Xenopus tropicalis: one gene and its partners. Each later gene encodes a partner of the first gene's protein in a complex. Links are inferred from orthologs where the notes say so. Each region holds a gene or a part of one and is shown in the gene's direction. Other genes may lie near its edges.

Evidence for each region.
Region 2: ppp4c (region 1) and ppp4r4 share a complex: the UniProt entries of both Homo sapiens proteins name them as parts of the PP4 complex. The link is inferred for Xenopus tropicalis from reciprocal best matches to the Homo sapiens genes PPP4C and PPP4R4.
Region 3: ppp4c (region 1) and ppp4r3a share a complex: the UniProt entries of both Homo sapiens proteins name them as parts of the PP4 complex. The link is inferred for Xenopus tropicalis from reciprocal best matches to the Homo sapiens genes PPP4C and PPP4R3A.
Region 4: ppp4c (region 1) and ppp4r1 share a complex: the UniProt entries of both Homo sapiens proteins name them as parts of the PP4 complex. The link is inferred for Xenopus tropicalis from reciprocal best matches to the Homo sapiens genes PPP4C and PPP4R1.
Region 5: ppp4c (region 1) and ppp4r3b share a complex: the UniProt entries of both Homo sapiens proteins name them as parts of the PP4 complex. The link is inferred for Xenopus tropicalis from reciprocal best matches to the Homo sapiens genes PPP4C and PPP4R3B.

Annotation. Positions count from the first base shown.
Region 1 is NC_030685.2:2,452,958-2,457,170, reverse strand, and holds the start of ppp4c (serine/threonine-protein phosphatase 4 catalytic subunit), read left to right. Parts: upstream 1-1,413; 5' UTR 1,414-1,480; exon of another isoform or gene 1,481-1,718; intron 1,719-3,492; 5' UTR 3,493-3,515; coding exon 3,516-3,613; intron 3,614-4,213. UniProt on the Homo sapiens protein: Protein phosphatase that is involved in many processes such as microtubule organization at centrosomes, maturation of spliceosomal snRNPs, apoptosis, DNA repair, tumor necrosis factor (TNF)-alpha signaling, activation of c-Jun N-terminal kinase MAPK8, regulation of histone acetylation, DNA damage checkpoint signaling, NF-kappa-B activation and cell migration.
Region 2 is NC_030684.2:88,192,228-88,196,451, forward strand, and holds the start of ppp4r4 (serine/threonine-protein phosphatase 4 regulatory subunit 4), read left to right. Parts: upstream 1-1,418; 5' UTR 1,419-2,105; coding exon 2,106-2,252; intron 2,253-3,637; coding exon 3,638-3,711; intron 3,712-4,224. UniProt on the Homo sapiens protein: Putative regulatory subunit of serine/threonine-protein phosphatase 4.
Region 3 is NC_030684.2:87,115,048-87,118,561, reverse strand, and holds part of ppp4r3a (serine/threonine-protein phosphatase 4 regulatory subunit 3A), read left to right. Parts: intron 1-629; coding exon 630-746; intron 747-1,209; coding exon 1,210-1,326; intron 1,327-3,514. UniProt on the Homo sapiens protein: Regulatory subunit of serine/threonine-protein phosphatase 4. May regulate the activity of PPP4C at centrosomal microtubule organizing centers.
Region 4 is NC_030682.2:104,631,159-104,635,105, reverse strand, and holds the start of ppp4r1 (serine/threonine-protein phosphatase 4 regulatory subunit 1), read left to right. Parts: upstream 1-1,136; 5' UTR 1,137-1,388; coding exon 1,389-1,395; intron 1,396-2,732; coding exon 2,733-2,777; intron 2,778-3,947. UniProt on the Homo sapiens protein: Regulatory subunit of serine/threonine-protein phosphatase 4. May play a role in regulation of cell division in renal glomeruli. The PPP4C-PPP4R1 PP4 complex may play a role in dephosphorylation and regulation of HDAC3.
Region 5 is NC_030681.2:35,555,397-35,558,910, forward strand, and holds part of ppp4r3b (serine/threonine-protein phosphatase 4 regulatory subunit 3), read left to right. Parts: coding exon 1-119; intron 120-685; coding exon 686-870; intron 871-2,247; coding exon 2,248-2,450; intron 2,451-3,514. UniProt on the Homo sapiens protein: Regulatory subunit of serine/threonine-protein phosphatase 4 (PP4). May regulate the activity of PPP4C at centrosomal microtubule organizing centers.

The DNA of each region.
Region 1 (4,213 bases):
TTCAAACCACTAGTTGCTAGGATGAGTGGGACCCTAGCAACCATACAGCACTTTCTAGTCAGATCAGCAAAATACATTTTAACAGCAGCTCAGGGGTTAATGCCCTGCCCTGCAGGACCCTCCTACACACTGGCATCTAACGCTGGCAGCCCCCACCCTTTCGACTCCTCACTAATTACTACTATTGCCCTTTCAGAGGGCGGGCAGACACAAATGCGGTTGAACGAGGCTGGCGGCTTCCAGGGTTGCCAGATTTATTTTTCCAACTAGCCAAAAGCCACTTTAAAAGTAGCCCAAAAATAGCCCAATATGCGCAATAAAGAAATTATATAATATAAAAATTATATAATCACTACCCAGTTACTGGGATGGCTGATATTGCATTAACCCCAGACACTATATACATATGGGTGCGTTAAACTACAACTCTCAGCAGCACCAGTAGAAAAGTAATAGTACAATCACATACCCTATAGAGCAGGGTGTAGGGCAGACAGGTTGAGCCTGAAACAGCAAAAAAGAATAGAAAACAGAGCCCCTGTCTATACTGTCCAATTGCATGCTGGGTATTGTAGTTTTATATTAATCGTAGCAGTAGGCTAATTGTTAGATACAAACTACATTACCCAGCATGCAGTGGAACAGGCACACTAGGGGGGAATAAAACTTTGGCTAGTTTCCAAATTACAAACCCACCAAGGCTCCACAAAATAGCCCAAATCTGTACCTTGGCGGGTTTGTACTCGTACTTGTAATTAGTAGCCCAAATCTTACGGCTTCTGACGCGAGGGCTGTCCATTCAGCAGGCTTCTGGTTGGAGGGTTCCCTACGTAAGAGGCTTCTGGTTGGGGGGATTTCCTCCAATCAGAAGTCTCTCGAATGGGAAGCTTCTCCCCCATGTCAGAAGCTCCCTGTTCAGAAACTTCTGATTGGAGGGCTCCCCATTCGAGAGGCTTCTGATTGGAGGGCTCCCCATTCGAGAGGCTTCTGATTGGAGGGCTGCCCAGGCGAGAGGTTTCTGATTGGAGGGCTCACTCGGCAGAGGCCTCCGGCAAAATTAACCGCTCTGCCGCCCTCCTATGATGTACACAGGAGTTAAATCTCACGAAATAATAAAAGACAACCACCATAAGCCTGGTGTAGACACCAAACACTCCTAGCTGTGGGTTAAGGGGGAGAGCGGCAACTGCTTTGCTACAAAAACATCACTCTTGTAACTCCCAGTCACGTGATACTGTCCGCTTTGTGTCCCGATCTGTGTTAATAAAGTTGCAGTTAAAAAAAAACTCCAAACAAAGGTATTTCCCGCCAGTCGCAATGGCTATTGGGCGGGACTGAGAGCGGTCGCGCAGGGGCTGCTGGGAGTTCGCAGACGCGCCATTGACGTCACACTCTCGCGGTGTTTGGCTCTCGCTGTGTGGAGAGGAGGAAGCGGGAGGCTCCGGGGGGAGAGACCCGCACACACCGCTCCCCGGATCCGGTAAGGCGGCCTGTGTACCGGAAGCCCGTGTGTGTGTGTGTATCCGTGTGTGGGGCTGAGCCGCCGGGACCCGGATGTGCGCTCTCGGCTTCTAACTGCCCGGAACTGGGGGTGGGGGATCGGCACCGAGCTGTGTGTGAGTCCCCCGTCCGATGTGAGAGGGAACCTGGGGGGGGATACGTCTCTCCCCCATACTCCCATATTAATCCTTGTGTGTCACTGAGGGGCATTACTGCGAGTAGGTACCCCAGGGGTACGGGCCCCATTATGGGCGGGGGTGGGTCGCTATATGGACCCCATTATAGGTAGTGGGGTTCAGTTTAAGCAACTTGTTATGCCTGGGGGTGGGGCCTGTATAAGAACCCCCATTGGGCCCGGGGGGTGGGGTCTGTCTAAGGACCCCCATTGGGCCCGGGGGGTGGGGTCTGTCTAAGGACCCCCATTGGGCCCGGGGGGGTGGGCTCTGTAGAAGGACCCCCATTGGGCCCGGGGGGGTGGGCTCTGTCTAAGGACCCCCATTGGGCCCGGGGGGTGGGCTCTGTCTAAGGACCCCCATTGGGCCCGGGGGGGTGGGGTCTGTCTAAGGACCCCCATTGGGCCCGGGGGGGTGGGGTCTGTCTAAGGACCCCCATTGGGCCCGGGGGGGTGGGGTCTGTCTAAGGACCCCCATTGGGCCCGGGGGGTGGGGTCTGTCTAAGGACCCCCATTGGGCCCGGGGGGTGGGGTCTGTCTAAGGACCCCCATTGGGCCCGGGGGGGTGGGCTCTGTCTAAGGACCCCATTGGGCCGGGGGGTGGGCTCTGTCTAAGGACCCCCATTGGGCCCGGGGGGGTGGGGTCTGTCTAAGGACCCCCATTGGGCCCGGGGGGGTGGGGTCTGTCTAAGGACCCCATTGGGCCCGGGGGGGTGGGGTCTGTCTAAGGACCCCCATTGGGCCCGGGGGGTGGGGTCTGTCTAAGGACCCCCATTGGGCCCGGGGGGTGGGGTCTGTCTAAGGACCCCCATTGGGGCCCGGGGGTGGGGTCTGTCTAAGGACCCCCATTGGGCCCGGGGGGTGGGGTCTGTCTAAGGACCCCCATTGGGCCCGGGGGGTGGGGTCTGTCTAAGGACCCCCATTGGGCCCGGGGGGTGGGGTCTGTCTAAGGACCCCCATTGGGCCGGGGGGTGGGCTCTGTCTAAGGACCCCCATTGGGCCGGGGGGGTGGGGTCTGTCTAAGGACCCCCATTGGGCCCGGGGGGTGGGGTCTGTCTAAGGACCCCCATTGGGCCCGGGGGGGTGGGGTCTGTCTAAGGACCCCCATTGGGCCCGGGGGGGTGGGGTCTGTCTAAGGACCCCCATTGGGCCCGGGGGGTGGGGTCTGTCTAAGGACCCCCATTGGGCCCGGGGGGTGGGGTCTGTCTAAGGACCCCCATTGGGCCCGGGGGGTGGGGTCTGTCTAAGGACCCCCATTGGGCCCGGGGGGTGGGGTCTGTCTAAGGACCCCCATTGGGCCCGGGGGGGTGGGGTCTGTCTAAGGACCCCCATTGGGCCTGGAGTGTTGGTATTCATATTCACATACAGGGTGTATAAATACACTAGTTGGGGGGGGGGGATAAATACTTTTATGTAACTGAGGTGAGGATTTGGGTCTAAAGGCTGGGGCATTAGTGGCAGTAAGTACCCAGGTGTAGGGGGCGGGTAAGTATAATGACCCCATTATGGCTAGGGGCAAATATAAGGACCCTAGTGTGGGGGTATGTTATAGCTTGTGGGGCTCTGTAGAAGGACCCCATTATGCCAGGGGGTGGGCTCTGTAGAAGGACCCCATTATGCCAGGGGGTGGGCTCTGTAGAAGGACCCCATTATGCCAGGGGGTGGGCTCTGTAGAAGGACCCCATTATGCCTGGGGGTGGGCTCTGTAGAAGGACCCCATTATGCCTGGGGGTGGGGTCTGAGAGATTAGGGGGGTTTTGAGTTTTGCTATAAGCCCCCTTTTTTGTTCAGTAAGTAAAATTGCCGGTTTTTCCCTTTAGTGAAGCTTCATTGAGGAGGGACCATGACTGAAATCAGTGACCTCGACCGGCAGATCGAGCAGCTGAGGCGCTGTGAGCTCATCAAGGAGAGCGAAGTGAAAGCTCTTTGTGCCAAAGCGCGGTGAGTCTTCTGCAGAGCCACCTTATGGGCCGGCTGGGTCTGCCTGGGGGGGGTCACCTTTAGGGTGTTATAGAGCAGCCACTTCTAAGCAACATTTTAATCTTCATTATTAATTTGTCATAGTTCTTGAATTATTTATTAGTTTTTATATGAGGGTCACTGACCCCAGTAGCAAAAAAAACTATTGCTCTGTGAGGCTCCAGTTTTATTGTTACTTTTTGTAACTTTTCTATTCAGGCCCTCCTCCTATTCATATACCAGTCTCTCATCCAAACCACTCTCTGGTTGTTAAGGTAACTTGGACCCTAGCAACCAAACTGAAACTCCATACTGGAGAGCTGCTGAACTGAAAATTAAATAACTTAAAAAAATTTTTTTAATTGTCTCAGAATATCACTATATATATCCAAAAAAGACCAGCAACACCGAGTTATATTCCAAAAACAATCAATTGTGTATTAAAAACGCATGAACAGCCACCGTTACGTTTCGGTCCCCATCGGGACCTTTCTCAAGGCAACCATGCTAACCAAACCCATGTTCTATTTATCCATAGTGAACCAGCAAATAGGAAGTGACACACAGTGCACATATGCCATA
Region 2 (4,224 bases), on another chromosome or scaffold:
GTGCCAGTGTTATAGTGCCAGGGCCTGAATATCTGCCATCAGTACCCACTGTGTTTCACTGTATATAATGTGCTGGGTTTGTAAATACGGACTGCGTCTCACTGTATATAATGGGGAGTCAGTACCCACTGCCTTTCTTGCTATAAAACTAACATAAACACATCTAAAGGGGTGGTTCACTTTTAAGTTAACCTTTAGTATGTTATAAAATGGCCTATTCCTAGCAACTTTGCAATTGGTCTTCCTAATTAATTTTTTTGAATAATTTGCCTTTCTCTTCTGCCTCTATACAGATTTCAAATGGGGGCCAAAAATATTGCTCTGTGAGGCTACAATTTTATTATTATTATAATTTTGTATTACTTATTTTTCCAAGTAGGCCCCTTAACTATTCATATTCCCATCTCTTGTTTAAACCACTACCTGGTTGCTAGGGTAAATAAGACCCTAGCAACCAGATAGCTGCTGAAATACCAAATGGAGAGCTGCTGAACAAAAAGCTAAATAACTGAAAAACCATTAAAAATAAAAGTGAATTCGAATGCGAACTAGCCCTTTAAGCTAACTGATCACAAACACAAATGTTTGCAGATCCCCTAACAGAAGTGCACTTATAAATACTTTTACATACTAAACATTTTAGGGTAAAAAAAAAAAGCACCCCCACCCGCACTTTTGTACAGTACCCCTGGGAGTCAGTGGGAACGGCAAGAGGTAGTTGGGAGGTTAACTTTTTACGCCAGCAGCGAATCCACTAAGTGTCACATTAGCTGTAGGTCAGTCTGTGTATGGGCCATCTTTAGCCTCCCCTAGTATCATCCTGCAAAAAAAAAATATATATATATTTATATATATATTTGTCTGTTGCAGGATGATGCTAGCTTACTTGCCCCCGCCCCGTTGGAAAATTTTCTGCGGACGCCCATGACTAGAAGTTCCTCTAGCAGTAAATGACTTTGCCCAGGGCCCTTTAGCATTATAGGGCACCCTTTGGGGAAAAGTAAACTACATTACAAGAGACATATCATTTTGTGTAAATATTTTCATTATTTCCATCAGGGTTGTAGGAAATCTGGCTGTCCTACTACTTAAAACAGATGTCTGATTGGAGGATTCTAGCTGGTTAAACGACTTTGGGCCATTGGTTTCCAAGACTATTTACACAGGGAGAGAAGCAGCTGTTGATTTGCGACTTTTCTTGTTTTTATCGCCACGTTCATACAATATAAAGAAGTTGCCAGGGTTTGTGAGCGTACTCATGTGACCTTGTTACCCTCGCCAAGTAAAATAACGAGTGAGTGGTGACAGGGAAAGGCCAAAGGGGCACGAAGTGTAGTGGAACCATTTGGGTTTCCCGTCCCTTCAGGTGGGAGGGGGAAAGGCGCTCACTATACTGACGTCACAGCGAGGAAGTTTGCGCCGCGGGGTTCGCTGTAGCGGCGCGTTGCTATGGGAACGGGAAGCACCATAGCACGCGTTGCTCTCTGGCCTCTCTGATCCGCTTATACTGATCCTCCCCCAAACCCCTCTCTCGCCTGCTGTCCCTGCAGCCGCGCTGCCAAACGCTACATACGCCGTGTCGCTGCTGAGGGGATCCCATGTCCCTGGCACTGGGTGAAAGCGGCAGCCCACGGATCCCACGCAAAAGAGGAGGCGAAGGCGTCTGCCCACGCATGACAGCTCCAATGAATGCTTCTGGCAGCGTGTGAATGTTGCAGCCTACGGGACTCGCGTAGGACTGGCATAGCTGTGGGCAGCCCACGCATGGCGCTCTTGTAAAGTCAATGTCGTTGCGGTGGCTGAAGCACAGCGAGCATCAGAGAAGCAGGTGTTAGCCTGGCACCCAAGGGCATCACTCCCGGGATTAGGGATCCGGCAGCAGGCTGCTAACCACTCCTTACTCCCTACACTGCACCAATACTAGGTGTGTCAGCAGTGGGGCCAGCTGAGCCCTTGCCAGTTACCCCCGATGGCATCGCGCTGCTGCTGCTGATTTCCCCTCGCACCTCCTTCTCTATTCCCCCCGCCTCCGCCCCTCATTCCCCTGCTCGGATCTTCTTCGGGCGCTGCCATGTGAAGCTCTCTCTTGGCTTCTTTGCCTACTCATGTTTTGCCCAGTTAGACTCGCAGATTCTCCCATGCATCCCACCGGCTTCTTTAGGATGGATTTCAGCCAGGGCAGCTTGTTTGGCTACATAGAGGACTTGGAGGGACTGACGATCATCGAGAGACCGGTCCGCAGAAGCCTCAAGGTATCATTTGGACAGGATGGCGCAGGGTAGAACAGACCGGTTGGGGTGCTGGATCCAGTCATTATATCCAGATCCATTTCAAATTAGCACGCAGTTAGGCTGGTTAGTAATTCAGCTGAACACACCATGGGCGTCGATAGTAGTGTACATCTTGTACCTAAACTGATTATCAGCCATAGAAGATTTGTATTTATTTGTTTTATACAAGGGTAAATATATCTGTAGTTATTATTAGAAACGACCATTCGATTCCAGGGCAGCAAACACAATTTAGTTCTTACTCTTAACCGCCTTTGTACTGTACTTTCTGTCCTGCTTCAGTCACACTTTGAAAAGGATGATCTGGTACTAACACTTCACAGTCATAGTTGATCTACTGCTGCTAGAATCTGTAATAGCAACCTGAGAGTCCAATATAGTTGTAGTTCAACAACTCTTGCTCTGTGTTCCACCTATTTGTGATGGTGATTGAAGGTTGCATACATGAGTTTCCCACCACAAATCCCAGAGTCAGGGTTTGTTAAAAGACATTTGAGGGCAACTGGTGGCCTATCATGTGGAACACTAGAAACCACCCCAGCAGCAGTATATAAGCTTGCTTGCTCTTTGTGTGACACTTTTTTCCATTTACATTCTTTTATTTCAAAATGTCCAGTTTCCTCCCAGTCCCACCCTCTAAAAACACACAGACTCATCATCATCAACCCCAGCTTGTATTATTTGTGTGACTGTGATAGGCATTATAAACTGCACTATGGCAGGGACTGATGTCAGTGATGATCAATCCTTGTAGTGCTGCAGAATATATCCAAGCTAAAGCAGGGCTGTGGAGTTGGTACAAAAATTCTTCGACCCTCACTCTAATAATTCCTTAGTTTGTGGTACCTCCGACTCCAACTATAATTCCAGATACCCAAAATTGCTTCCAACTCCTCAGCCCTGTTCTAAAAAAAAATGAGGATAATCATTAATGTCACTAGTCACTTTCAGAGCTAAAAACAGCAGTGACACAATGCATTTCATTGGTCAAGGACAGACTTCCTTATGGGCCACAGTACCTTTATTTTAATTTTTCCTTTGGAAATATTGTGGATTTTTCTTGTTTTATTTTCTCTAGTGTATGCTTTATATGAAGTTCTAACTCAGCATGAATTTTCATTCTTGCACAACTGCCCACTAAATTATACAGGAATGGCTGTGGTAGGAGAAAGCACATAAGTATGATCATAGTCATCTGATCAAAAGAAACCATGACTCAAGGCCATCTTAGGCTTTACCATGCCCTAACCAAAGTTAATCTGGACCTTTTGTTTACTGTATAGTGGCCCATAAGGATATACAAATAACAGATCATTCTGAAAATATGTTTTATATTTTTTTTTCAGACGCCTGAAGAAATTGAAAGGTTAACAGTTGATGAAGAACTAAATGACATTGAAAGGGCTGTATTCCTTCTCAGGTATATTCCACTGTAAAATATTTCAACTTGGAAAATATAATTTTTAAGTAGCCTTTGAAATCTGTTGTCCAACATTATTTAAGTTATTGTATCAAGGAAAAAAAATTGGTTTTTGCTCGTTTTTATCAGACGATAGCTTAGTTTCTTTGGGGAAATGTCTAAAAAGTATATGTATATCCAGCTAATTAGTTAACTGGGAAGGTAGTATAGCCCATAATGGTCAGTTTGTCCTTGTGTCTGCACACCACTGTTTTTTTCATCTACATATATGTACCCATATTTTTCTTCTAGGTAGTATTAATGGTACATGGGGCTGGGAAACAATTAGAACAATGATAGACAGAATGGGTCATTTTGTCAATGGCTGTTTCCACTAGATTTTCACCATACTCTCACCTATCTTAGTCAAGTTATTTTTTTTTCTTCAAGAACAACATTATCAGATGTTTTTCTAAATAAAAATACATTATGTTCAATAATATAGCCTATATTCCTTTAATTTGCTCTTAAAGG
Region 3 (3,514 bases), on another chromosome or scaffold:
AAACACATCTTGTACAATTCAACTGTTCAGAAGGCACTGAGAAATATTAAATGTATTACTAAGGCCCGTGAAGCACTGTCATTTGCCTAGCAGCATATTTCTGTTGGTAGAGAAGTACCTGTTTCCACTTAGGCGTTTTAATGCTGGATCATTTATTTGCTGTGCTGTCTTAATTATATTTATGTATATTATCTCAGTAACATATTATTTCTAATTTTTCTCCGCTCCTTGAGTGTTCTGGGCATGACTGGTGAAAGGTGGTTGCTATTCATTTCAATCAGAAAAAAATTGTTTATAGCTTTAATAGTTTGCTTATGCTTGTGTAGAGATGAGTTCTTAAACAAGCATAGTATTCAAGGCTATGGTGATATTAATATCTACAGTTAGTATTAGTAGTTGTGTGTATGTATGTGTATATATATATATATATATATATATATATATATATATATATATATATATATATAGTTTATGTATGTGAGTGTATAGATTGGTAAGTATAGGTTGTGTGTGCTGGGTTAACTTATAAGGGTTGAACATGAAGGACTCTGGTCTTTTTTCAACCATATGTAACTATGTAAGAAAATGAACCAGAATTTATTTTGAAATGTTTTTTACCTTAATTTCAGGTTAACTTTCTAAAGGAATTCTGTGCATTCTCTCAGACGCTACAACCCCAAAATAGAGATGCTTTCTTTAAGACTTTGTCAAACATGGGTATCCTTCCGGCCTTAGAAGTAATTTTAGTAAGTAGCAATCCTTTTTGTTCAGATTACAAACTTTCTTATCTGTTCAGTGAAACCTCTGTCACAAGTTTGACAACTTCATAGATTTTGTGAAAATAATGTGTAACTTATGTTGTACACGGTTGCATGCTGCATTTATACTTTTTTTACCTTATATTTACTCTGTAAAACTCTCTAGCTTCTGTAACACTTGAAAGGTAATCATTTGAGCTGTAGCACTGGTGTTTTACCTTCCTCATTCTAAACTTTTAAATTATATGAATGTTAATGCATAGTTATCAAACTTTAATTTAGGTAGATTTTTTCTATTATTTTGAGTGATTTATTGGCTAACCTGTTTTAGTCCACATATCTTTTGTAAAGATATTCAGCATATAAAGTTTCAATATGGAAATGCTAGGCAGTTTCTGCTAGTCTGATTAATACAGCAATGTAAGATGGGTCCTGTTGTTTAACCAAATAGGGCATGGATGATCCACAGGTTCGAAGTGCTGCCACCGACATTTTCTCCTACTTGGTAGAATATAATCCATCTATGGTGCGAGAGTTTGTAATGCAAGAGGCACAGCAGAACGATGATGTAAGTATCCAACTTCATCAGTAAAGTAATTACTTGCAGAAATGTGGTAATATAGCTGCAAGCCTAATATAAATGTTTTTAGCTAATCAAGAAGAAAGCTGTTAAGTTTTTTTTTAAATTATATTATTTGATATTGTATTATTATTAGGTTGGTATTAGGGTATTATTAAAGTCTTTTGGCAGTGGACAAGGAAGATTTCTCCATTGTTTTTCTCATAAAATGTCAAAGCTGTAACGACCTCAAAACCTCGTGTGATGAAGGCAACGCCCCAAATGTACACACCGGTTTAACACAGTGGTGGCTAAAAACCTGTTGAGCTTTTAGTTTGTCAAAAGCCTACTTGCAAAAGTAAAAAAAACAAGTGAAACAAATCAATTGCTGAAAACTCCAGTGAGTTCAGGAAGTTGCAATCGATTACCAGAATGGTCGAAGCTTAGTAAATCTGTCCCTTTAAATAGTGTCTTTTTCCAAGCCATGATCTCAGTTTTATGTTTTAATTAGGTGTTTATTACAAAAACATTTATTTGTAACAAGATCATACTCAATGCACTCTTTCTCTAATTTTTTTCTTTGTATTTTTTCCTATTCCACCAAACCAGTTCTTAGTAGTTCTGTTATTTTGTTGCATTTTAAAGCATTATGTAGGGTTGCCTACCATTCTTTTGAGTTGTTTGTACTTAAGTTTGTATAGCTTAGTGTTCCCCAACCAGTGGTTCGTGAGCAACATGTTGCTCACCAACCCCTTGGATGTTGTACCCTGTGTCCTCAAAGCAGGTGTGCATTTTTGAATTTCTGGTAAGGAGACAAGTTTTGGTTGCATAAAAACCAAGTATAATGCCAAACAGAGCCTTCTGTAGGCTGCTATAGCTCTTATTGGCACCCCCAGGAACTTTTTCATGCTTGTGTTGCTCCCCAACACTTTTTCCATTTAAATGTGGCTCACAGGTATGAAAGGTTGGATCCCTGGTCTAGCTGCACTGCAGCTGTGCTTTAGTAACCCAAGAAGTATCTGCGTTTTCAAGCTTTACTTAGCTTGATACATTCACTAAATGTATGATTCATAGTTAAGGTGGCCATACATTTACAAATTAAATGGTACAAAATATTTTTTTGGGCTAAACGATCAAATCAGCCTGATATTGCCCACCTCAAGGTGACCTTGCTAAAAAAAAAAAAAAGCATATATTTCAGTATATCGCCAGCTTGAAGGAATAGAAACACAAATATTTTACATTAAAAATATTCTTGCAGCTCCAACTCCCTCTTTTTGTACAAGCTCAGCCAGTAAATGCAGGTTCGCAGACTTAAGGTGGCCATACGTGGGCTGATTTTAGCTGCCACTATCTACCTTTAGCCCAATTCAGCACCATATCTGGCTGTGTATGGGCACAATGGGCCTCCCCTACCAACATCTGGCCAGGTTTCAACAGACAGGTTTTATTTTTCTGTTGCCAACAGCACCTATATCCATCATTTTAATTGAATTGTCTGGCCCTAGGGCCAAATGATGAATTGGCCCAATATCGCCAGGCGAGCAGATCTTACCGTGTATGGGCAATTTTTGAAGAGAAGCCCTCTGTCCCCATCCCCTTCCCTGAACTGGCACAAAAATACTCACAAGCTAACTTTGAACACTCTAAGGAATGCATTAAACTAACTTCTGGTTCAAATCGGAAGTCAAGCAATAGCCACATCACATTTACTTTGCCCTATACATGAATTGTATATTGTAACATGAATGTTATTATATTAAAAGCCACTTGCAGTGTTGCAATTTCTGTATGATATATATGTTAATAAAAAAATTGTATTTGGTTGCAGCACAGAGCAACAACTTGGAGCTAAAGCTTTTTTTTTCGCAAGTATTTTATACAAAGTTCACCAACAATTTATTATTTTCATATAAATGTCAAGTGGCCTTTCAAAGTGGGCCCCCACATATATTAAAGAAAGTAAATAAGCACCTAACCCGTAATCTCACACCCGAAAAAGGAACATTGGTAGTAAAACTTCTTGGGTTGCAGATAACATGCTGCTCTGGATAATAGAAAACTGAAATTCTCTGAGTAAAAGTTAGAAAAAAAAAAAAGCCTGATCCTGATTACCAGTGTTGTGCCACTGTAATGCCTTGAATCTCAGATCACAGGCAATACTTGTGAGGCAGGGTGGTTAGGATATGTTATGCAC
Region 4 (3,947 bases), on another chromosome or scaffold:
ACTAGGACTTCTACACATAGGAGAGCTGGCCCATGTTCAAATATCAATTGGGGCAGGTGAAAACTCCCAATATCTGTGGACTGCAATTATCTGTGCATTTGATCTGAGGCCAAAATCTCCCTGTTCGCGGGCAATTAATCTCCCCGAAATGCCATCCCACCAGCGAAAATGTAAATCACCGGTGGGATGGCATACGTGGCACCGTGATTTCCCTGAAATCGTGGAAGTTTCCTCTCAAGTCAACGTCCGCGCCGCGATTTACATTTGCGCCGGTGGGATGGCATTTCGGGGAGATTAGTTGCCCGCGAACAGGGAGATTTGTTGCGGGCAACTATTCTTCCCGTGTGCCAGAGCCCTAAGAGGGTAGTGTAGTGTGAGAAATGTCCATTGTTCACCTCTACCAGTCTTGGAACCAAAGAAAGTGACATACGCTTTTTAGAGCCACATTTGGCATACAAAGAGTTACTTTTCACGTTTTACACACATATAAGCATCCTTGTATGAGATCTTTAGCCATAGATCTATAAATGACACCAGTTAACAAATAATTATTCATCCGAAGTTGCCTTACTAGAATATCTAGGACCACAAATAAGTATCTTCTCTCTTGGGAGGCCTTTTCCTTTATGCATCTGTATTTTTGGAATATATCGATATACAGTATTGTGTATTGTACTTGGTGCCTATTAGATACCTAACGAGGTACAACTAGTGTTCCCTTGTGCTGCTTTAACGCGCAGACACGTCAGCATTTCCATAGCGGCCCCTCCAAATACGTGAGGTTTCAAGCTCCCACTTATGGAGACATCACGTAAGTTACGTACGGCAGCCAGCTACGATTCTGTACACTGCCACAAACATATAGTACCTACTTGACCCAAACGAATATAGGGGCCACATGATGTTCTCTCTATTACAGGCTAAACCCAGCCCTACACTCATTTAGCACTATTAAATGTCGATTAATGAACAGTATTCCACTGAGACACACGGAGGTAGCATGAGGCAGAGCAGTAAAGTCCGACATTGGGAGAGGAGTTGCTGCCCGTATGGCTATGTAAGGTACCACCGAGGCACATAAGGCAGGGACAGGAAGAGGAGGCGCTGCGTGTCACAAGGTTAGTGCCGGGAAGAGGATGTTCCCAGTGTGTGTGAGTGAGAGAGGGAGTGAGAGAGGGAGTGAGGCTTCTGCACACAGGAAGAGGTGGCGCGCTGTGTTCGACTGAAATATGTGATGTGTGATCCGGGGGGAGCCGCCTGAAAGCTGCAACAAGCCCGAGATATTGTGCAGTGTCGGGCAGCCCTCGCACTCCGACCCAGCCCACGCTGGCAAGGTGGGCGCTGCACTGGCTGGAGACTCCATGTAGCGGCGCGGCCCCAGGCACAAGATGGCGGGTGAGAGACAGGGCTCAGTGTGGGTTGTTTTGCCACAAAGTGGGTGCATCTACAAGCGGGTGCTGGGAGTGTGAGTAGGTGCAGGCTCGGATTCGGTGTAGGGCAGTGAGGGAATTCATTCTGGGCCTCAAACCACAGGAAGTGCATTAACAGGGGAAAAGTAAACACAAGTGGCAATAACACGTGATACCGTGCAGGAATTGCAAGTTAGTTTCAATATGTACGTCAGGGATGAATTACATGCAGCCCCCTCACATTAATGTTGGTGTGGGGGGCTTGGGCTATTGTACTACACTACAACAACAACTTTGGGGTTGCTATTTTTGCACATCATGATAGTTATTTTACTCTATAAATGGGGCCCCGAGTCTCTCAACTCCAGCCCTGTGTGTGTGTGTGCATATTTAAGACTTGTTTTAGACCTAATTCTACTAACGTGTATATTTAAGTTGCAGGTATTTCAGACTGAGGTTGGTTTGTCTAGTCAAATGTTTTGTGTGTTAAGAGTAATGTGAGAGGGTGCAGCATAACATCTCTCAGCATTTGGGAGTTATAGTTTTATTCTGATTTACCTTAGCTGCTGAAGGGCTGCAGGATTGATGAGCCTGCTTTACAGCAAAAAGTTAGAGAAGCAATGAATGTACTAATTTGTTCTATTTATACATTTTCTTCCTTTCCCTCCAAAATCAAACAGAAATCTGTAGTGGTACCTTATGCGTATGTCAGGATGTAGGTTACAGTAATTTATGATTTTATTCAGCAGATTTTGTGTGTGTGCACACCAAATTTTAAAATGTAAACATTAAATCTAGTTACTGGTAAGATCCAGTGATAGTTACCTTTCTATGCTGAATTGTAAGCTAAAATTATTGTGAAATGTTCATACATTGTTTATGTAACATACACCTAGGAGCAGGGATCCCCAACCTTTTATACTCGTGAGCCACATTCAAATGGAAAAAGTGTTGGGGAGCAACACAAGCATGGAAAAAGTTCCTGGGGGTGCAAATAAGAGCTACAATTGGCTATTTGGTAGCCCCTATGTGGACTGGTAGCCTATAGAAGGCTCTGTTTGGCTTTACACTGGTTTTTATGCAACCAAAACTCACCCCTAAGCCAGAAATTCAAAAATGGGTACCTAAGTTGAGGCCCCTGGGAGCAACATCCAAGGGGTTGGGGAGCAACATCCAAGGGGTTGGGGAGCAACATGTTGCTCACGAAGCACTGGTTGGGGATCACTTCCTAGGAGGGTATAAGTGTTTCAGGTACTGCAGACTCTGACAAGGATTACTGGCTGTTTGTTCTTCACACTTATATTTTACTCTGAATCTTTTCAGATCTGTCACTGTTCCAGGAGGATGTGCAGGAGGAAATAGATGGATGTAAGTCACATTTTGTTTTTTACGTAAAAAATTGTAGGGGAAAAAAAAAACTGAAACCTGGTTAAAACAAACACTTTACTGTATATGGGGCTTAAACCATCTGGTTTACATTTATGCATTCAGATTTAACCAAGCATGTAAATCATTCACTCTTATGTCAAGCACGTGACATAGCCATAGTGCTTATTAATTTTAGGAGCTGCAATTTTTCAACAGTAATAACTGCTGATACATTGCAGTTTTGTAGCAGTGCAATAATAGGTAAAGTATGGGTAAGTTTTAAGGAAAGTTTTGCTAATAGAGACACAGCCACAGTTAGGGCATTGAGCTGTTTTTATTCCCTTAACACTCTACAGAGTGTTGAATGGATAGTTCAGGAATTCAGGATCTTTGGAATCAGGAAATAATTTTTTAGGCAAACTGGAAAAACGTTTATTTTATTTTTTTTTTGGCCTTCCTCTGGATGAGCTAGCAGTTAAACAGGTTCATTAGACTAAAAGCTGTTTTCAACTATAGTACTGTGTACTATATAAGCTGGTTAATTTATTAATTGCTCAGGCCATGGAAAACTTCAGCGAGACTGTTAAATGAAGCTTGTGCATGTAAATTTTTTCAATTTGTTATAATTCTAGTTTTTAAGGATATGCTGCAGGTTAAACATTTACACAATACCTTTTGATGGATCAGTGGGTTGTACACCTGCACATTGTTTTGATTGATCAATTCTACTAGTTATTGGTTTGCACAAGGTGAGACGTGCATATCATGAAAACATGGAACTGTTGGTTATGAGGAGAACTGGAGTGCAGTATATTTTTGCTTTAATGGTGTATTTATTTCTATGGGTTTAGAAAAACATTGCTGCATTTTGTATTGTACATGGAACTGTGCTAGTGTGCCAATTTGTGTTTAATTAGATGTGTGAAGGATGTCAAGTTGATTTAGTGAGTAAATTAACTACTGAGGTTATTTTTATCACATTCACGTACTGGTCACCTTATTCATATTGCGCTTATAGGTGATCCAAAGGTGATTTGCCTCAAAGAAGTAAAAAACGCTTTTGTATCTGGCTTAGCACTGTATAAAGCACAAGAGCCATGAATAACCTTGATTTTATATTAACTGTGCATAGTGATATCACTTGTGTCACAGGACTCATTAACTAAATAT
Region 5 (3,514 bases), on another chromosome or scaffold:
TCACACATTGTAGAAAATTTTTACAAAGCACTTGAATCCATTGAATATGTTCAAACATTTAAAGGATTGAAAACGAGATATGAACAAGAAAAGGATCGTCAAAGTCAGAAGTTAAGCAGGTAATGATTAATAATTTGGATTGGTCTTTCTAGGGTTCCATTATATGTTGGGGGGAAAAAAGTGAGAGATAAGTGGGTAAACCTGGTGCAGGTTGAGCTGGGGCCTGGCAAAGTTCACCTCTGTTGATATCTTGCACACACAAGGTCTGTTAAAGGAGAACTACAGCTTAGTTTAGCAGTGCAGGCATTTGCTTGTGTGCCCCTCATGCTTTTACTCTCTCGTGTGTGGGCAGCAAAATATCTGCAATACCTTTCCATAGGCTGTGCAGGTATTTGCACCGACCCTAACATTGCAAATGTGAATCAGGTATTTGTTTACAAAAAAAAAAAAACGTTTTACAATAATATTGCACCTGCAGGGTCAGAAATTACCGGCATATCCTATGGAAGGGTATTTGTAGGTGTTTTGTCATGTGCCTTTAAAAGGTTTACCGTTAGGGTAACGTCAATGTAAAGGATGCTTGCATCAATGATGGTACAGAGTGACGGAATGAAAGCTTTTGTACATATTTCAGCTTGGTATTTAAAAAGAGGCAAGTTATAATTTTTACCTTCTGTTTTCTTAGCGTACCATCTATATTGCGTAGTAACCGGTTTCGTAGAGATGCGAGAGCACTGGAGGATGATGAAGAGTTGTGGTTTAATGAAGATGAGGAAGAGGAAGGGGAAGCAGTTGTACCTCCTGTTGAAAAAACTAAAACAGAGGATGACTTTCCTGAAGGTTATGAAAAATTTCTGGAAACTAAAAAAGGTATTGGTTTTGCCCTTTAACAAGGAAATACAGCAAATCCGCACAGTCCGTGGTTGTGTACAAGTGAAGCGCAAACATTTTAGCATTTACACTGTCCTTATTATAAAAGCAACTGAACTGTAGTAGCTGTTAAATATATCTGCCAACAGGTGTTTAATTTTTTAGAATTGCTCACTGTAGAATGTACGGTGTCAATATTAAATTACCATAGTGACAACACTGTAGATTCAACTCCTACAGGTTTTCCTTGTTCTGTGCCTCACTGTTGACTTCTATAATATGACCAGCAGAAGAGTTACTGACCGCTAATTAATTTTTATAAGTAGTGCAGCAGTTCTAACCCCAGAACTCAATTTCCTAAAGCTGATAAAATTTGGGAAACCTTTGGGGCATGAATATGTATTATCTTAAGGTGGCCATACACAGGCCGGTAGAAGCTGCCAGCGGACGAAGTCAGCAATTTACTGGCCTGTTTAGAGGCCTACCCGACTGATCTATAGGCAAAAATTGCCAAGAGAAAAGGTTTAGATAGGTAGGTTTAATTTTCCACTCAGATTGAGGCCAAGATCAGCACGTTGGTGTGGTCATTGATATGATGGCCTGCAATTATGAGATGATTGTTTGGCCATCGGATCAACCTGATATCATCCACCTCAAGGTGGCCTTATGGGGGGGAAGATTTTGCCAGCAATTTTGTTTATAAAATGCGTAAGTTAATAGTGCTCCTCCAGCAGAATCCTGCAGTGAAATTCCTTTTGTTTTTAAAAGAGCAAGCTATTTTTTACACTTGAAATTGTCTTGAAATTTGATGTGGGGCTAGACGTGTTTTATTTCCCAAGTGCTCTCAGCCATGTAAATTATGCTCTGATAAACTCCAGTCACTTTTTACTGTTGCACTGCAAGTTGGAATGATTCCCCCCTCCCTTTCCCTGGGAAAATCTGCAAAATCACAGAAAAGTAACAGGATTACTGCTCCCCCTTCCCTTGTGGTAGATATGAGAATACCACTCAGTAGTAAAACTCAAGTCTTTCCATTGGAGCCAATCTAAAAAGCAGTTCCTTTGTGACGCGCTGACTCTTTCTGAAAGCACAGGATCATCCACAGTGATCTGAGATGGCTCCATACACACCAATATTACAATTAAAAAAACATTTATTGGTTCAGTAGTACATAGTAGAGTGAATTATTTGCAATGTGCACAGTGTAATTTAGAAGTAAAAACTACACCACATAAATCATGACCGAATCCCTTGAATCTCTATATATTTTTTTCTTTATATTACATCCATTTAGAGGCAAAATATTTTTTGCCTCAAAAACTGATTTTATTAATCTGTTATTAATATTAATGCTTTGGGTTTTGTTTTGTTTTTTAGCGAAAGAGCTTGAAGATAAAGAGAATCTTCCAAAGAGGACATCTGTTGGAGGGTTTAAATTCACTTTCTCTCACTCAGTTAGTGCAGCTAATGGGGCAAACAGTACAAACAGCAAGTCTGTGGCAGCTCACACACCACCAGCAAGTTCTAATGGATCTTCCTCCAAAAATACAAGCTTGACAACCACAGTGGCATCTGCTAAGGTGAGTCCATTCTTTGTATGTGGCAGCGACAAAGTTAATTCTGACTCTTATGGTCTTGAATGCACCAATCTTTTTCAGCACCGATAACTGTGGATTTTCTATATTGAATGAAATCTATTCTTTCAAAAACATTTTTTCCAGAAAGCTCCGCTACTCAGAAGTGATATCTCCCTTTTTCTCTTTAGTAGGCCGTAAGACAGCCCTTGTACTTTGTTAACTATGCTAGCATGTTAATGGCATAACTATCCTACTGGTAAAAGTGAGTAGATCACCTTTTAGTTAATTTAGTATTTTACAGAATGTACTATTCTTAGCACTTTTTTTTTTTTTTTTTTTTTAATTAGTCTCAATATTGCAAATTCTCAGAATTTAAAGTTAAACTTGGTGGGTAGAAACTTTTCTTGTTCAAGCATTTATATGGAGAGAATTAGAGAACAGCATTTTGTGCCTCCATCTGGCATTGGAGCTTATGTAGAAATACAGGGAACTAATAATTCACACTTAAATATAAATATATATTACAGTCTGTGGGGTATGTGACATTAAAGAGAAACCATATCACACCTGTATTTTTAGCTGTACTTTTACCTTTTTACATCTTTTATGTGCAGTATCTTTGTTATTACTGTGGTCCATATTATTCTGCCACAATTTTCACTTGGTGGGATGGCATTAGTGTCACTTCGGTTTCCTGAAGTAGGCCGGAGTTTCCTCTTGAGGCAACTTTGGGCAGCTTCAGAAAACTAAAGCAGCACATATGCCATCCCACCGGCAATAAGCATTCTTGCTGGTAGGAAGGTATTTTGGGGAGATTAGTCACCTGCAGTAGTAAAGATTTATTGTGGGCAGATAAAATAAATGAGTGGCCATTTTCTGGAGGAACGTTTTCAGTGTGTAAATACCATCAGCTCTTGCTTATTCCCTCAAGGAACCAATTGCGATCCATTGCCTGGGCCAGGGGACAAACTGCCCTCTGGTAAAGATGTGCTTGACTGGCAAGAAGAGCAGTTTAACCTAAAAGGAGCTAGAAAAATCCTTGTACAGTAATATAAAAAGGTTTAATA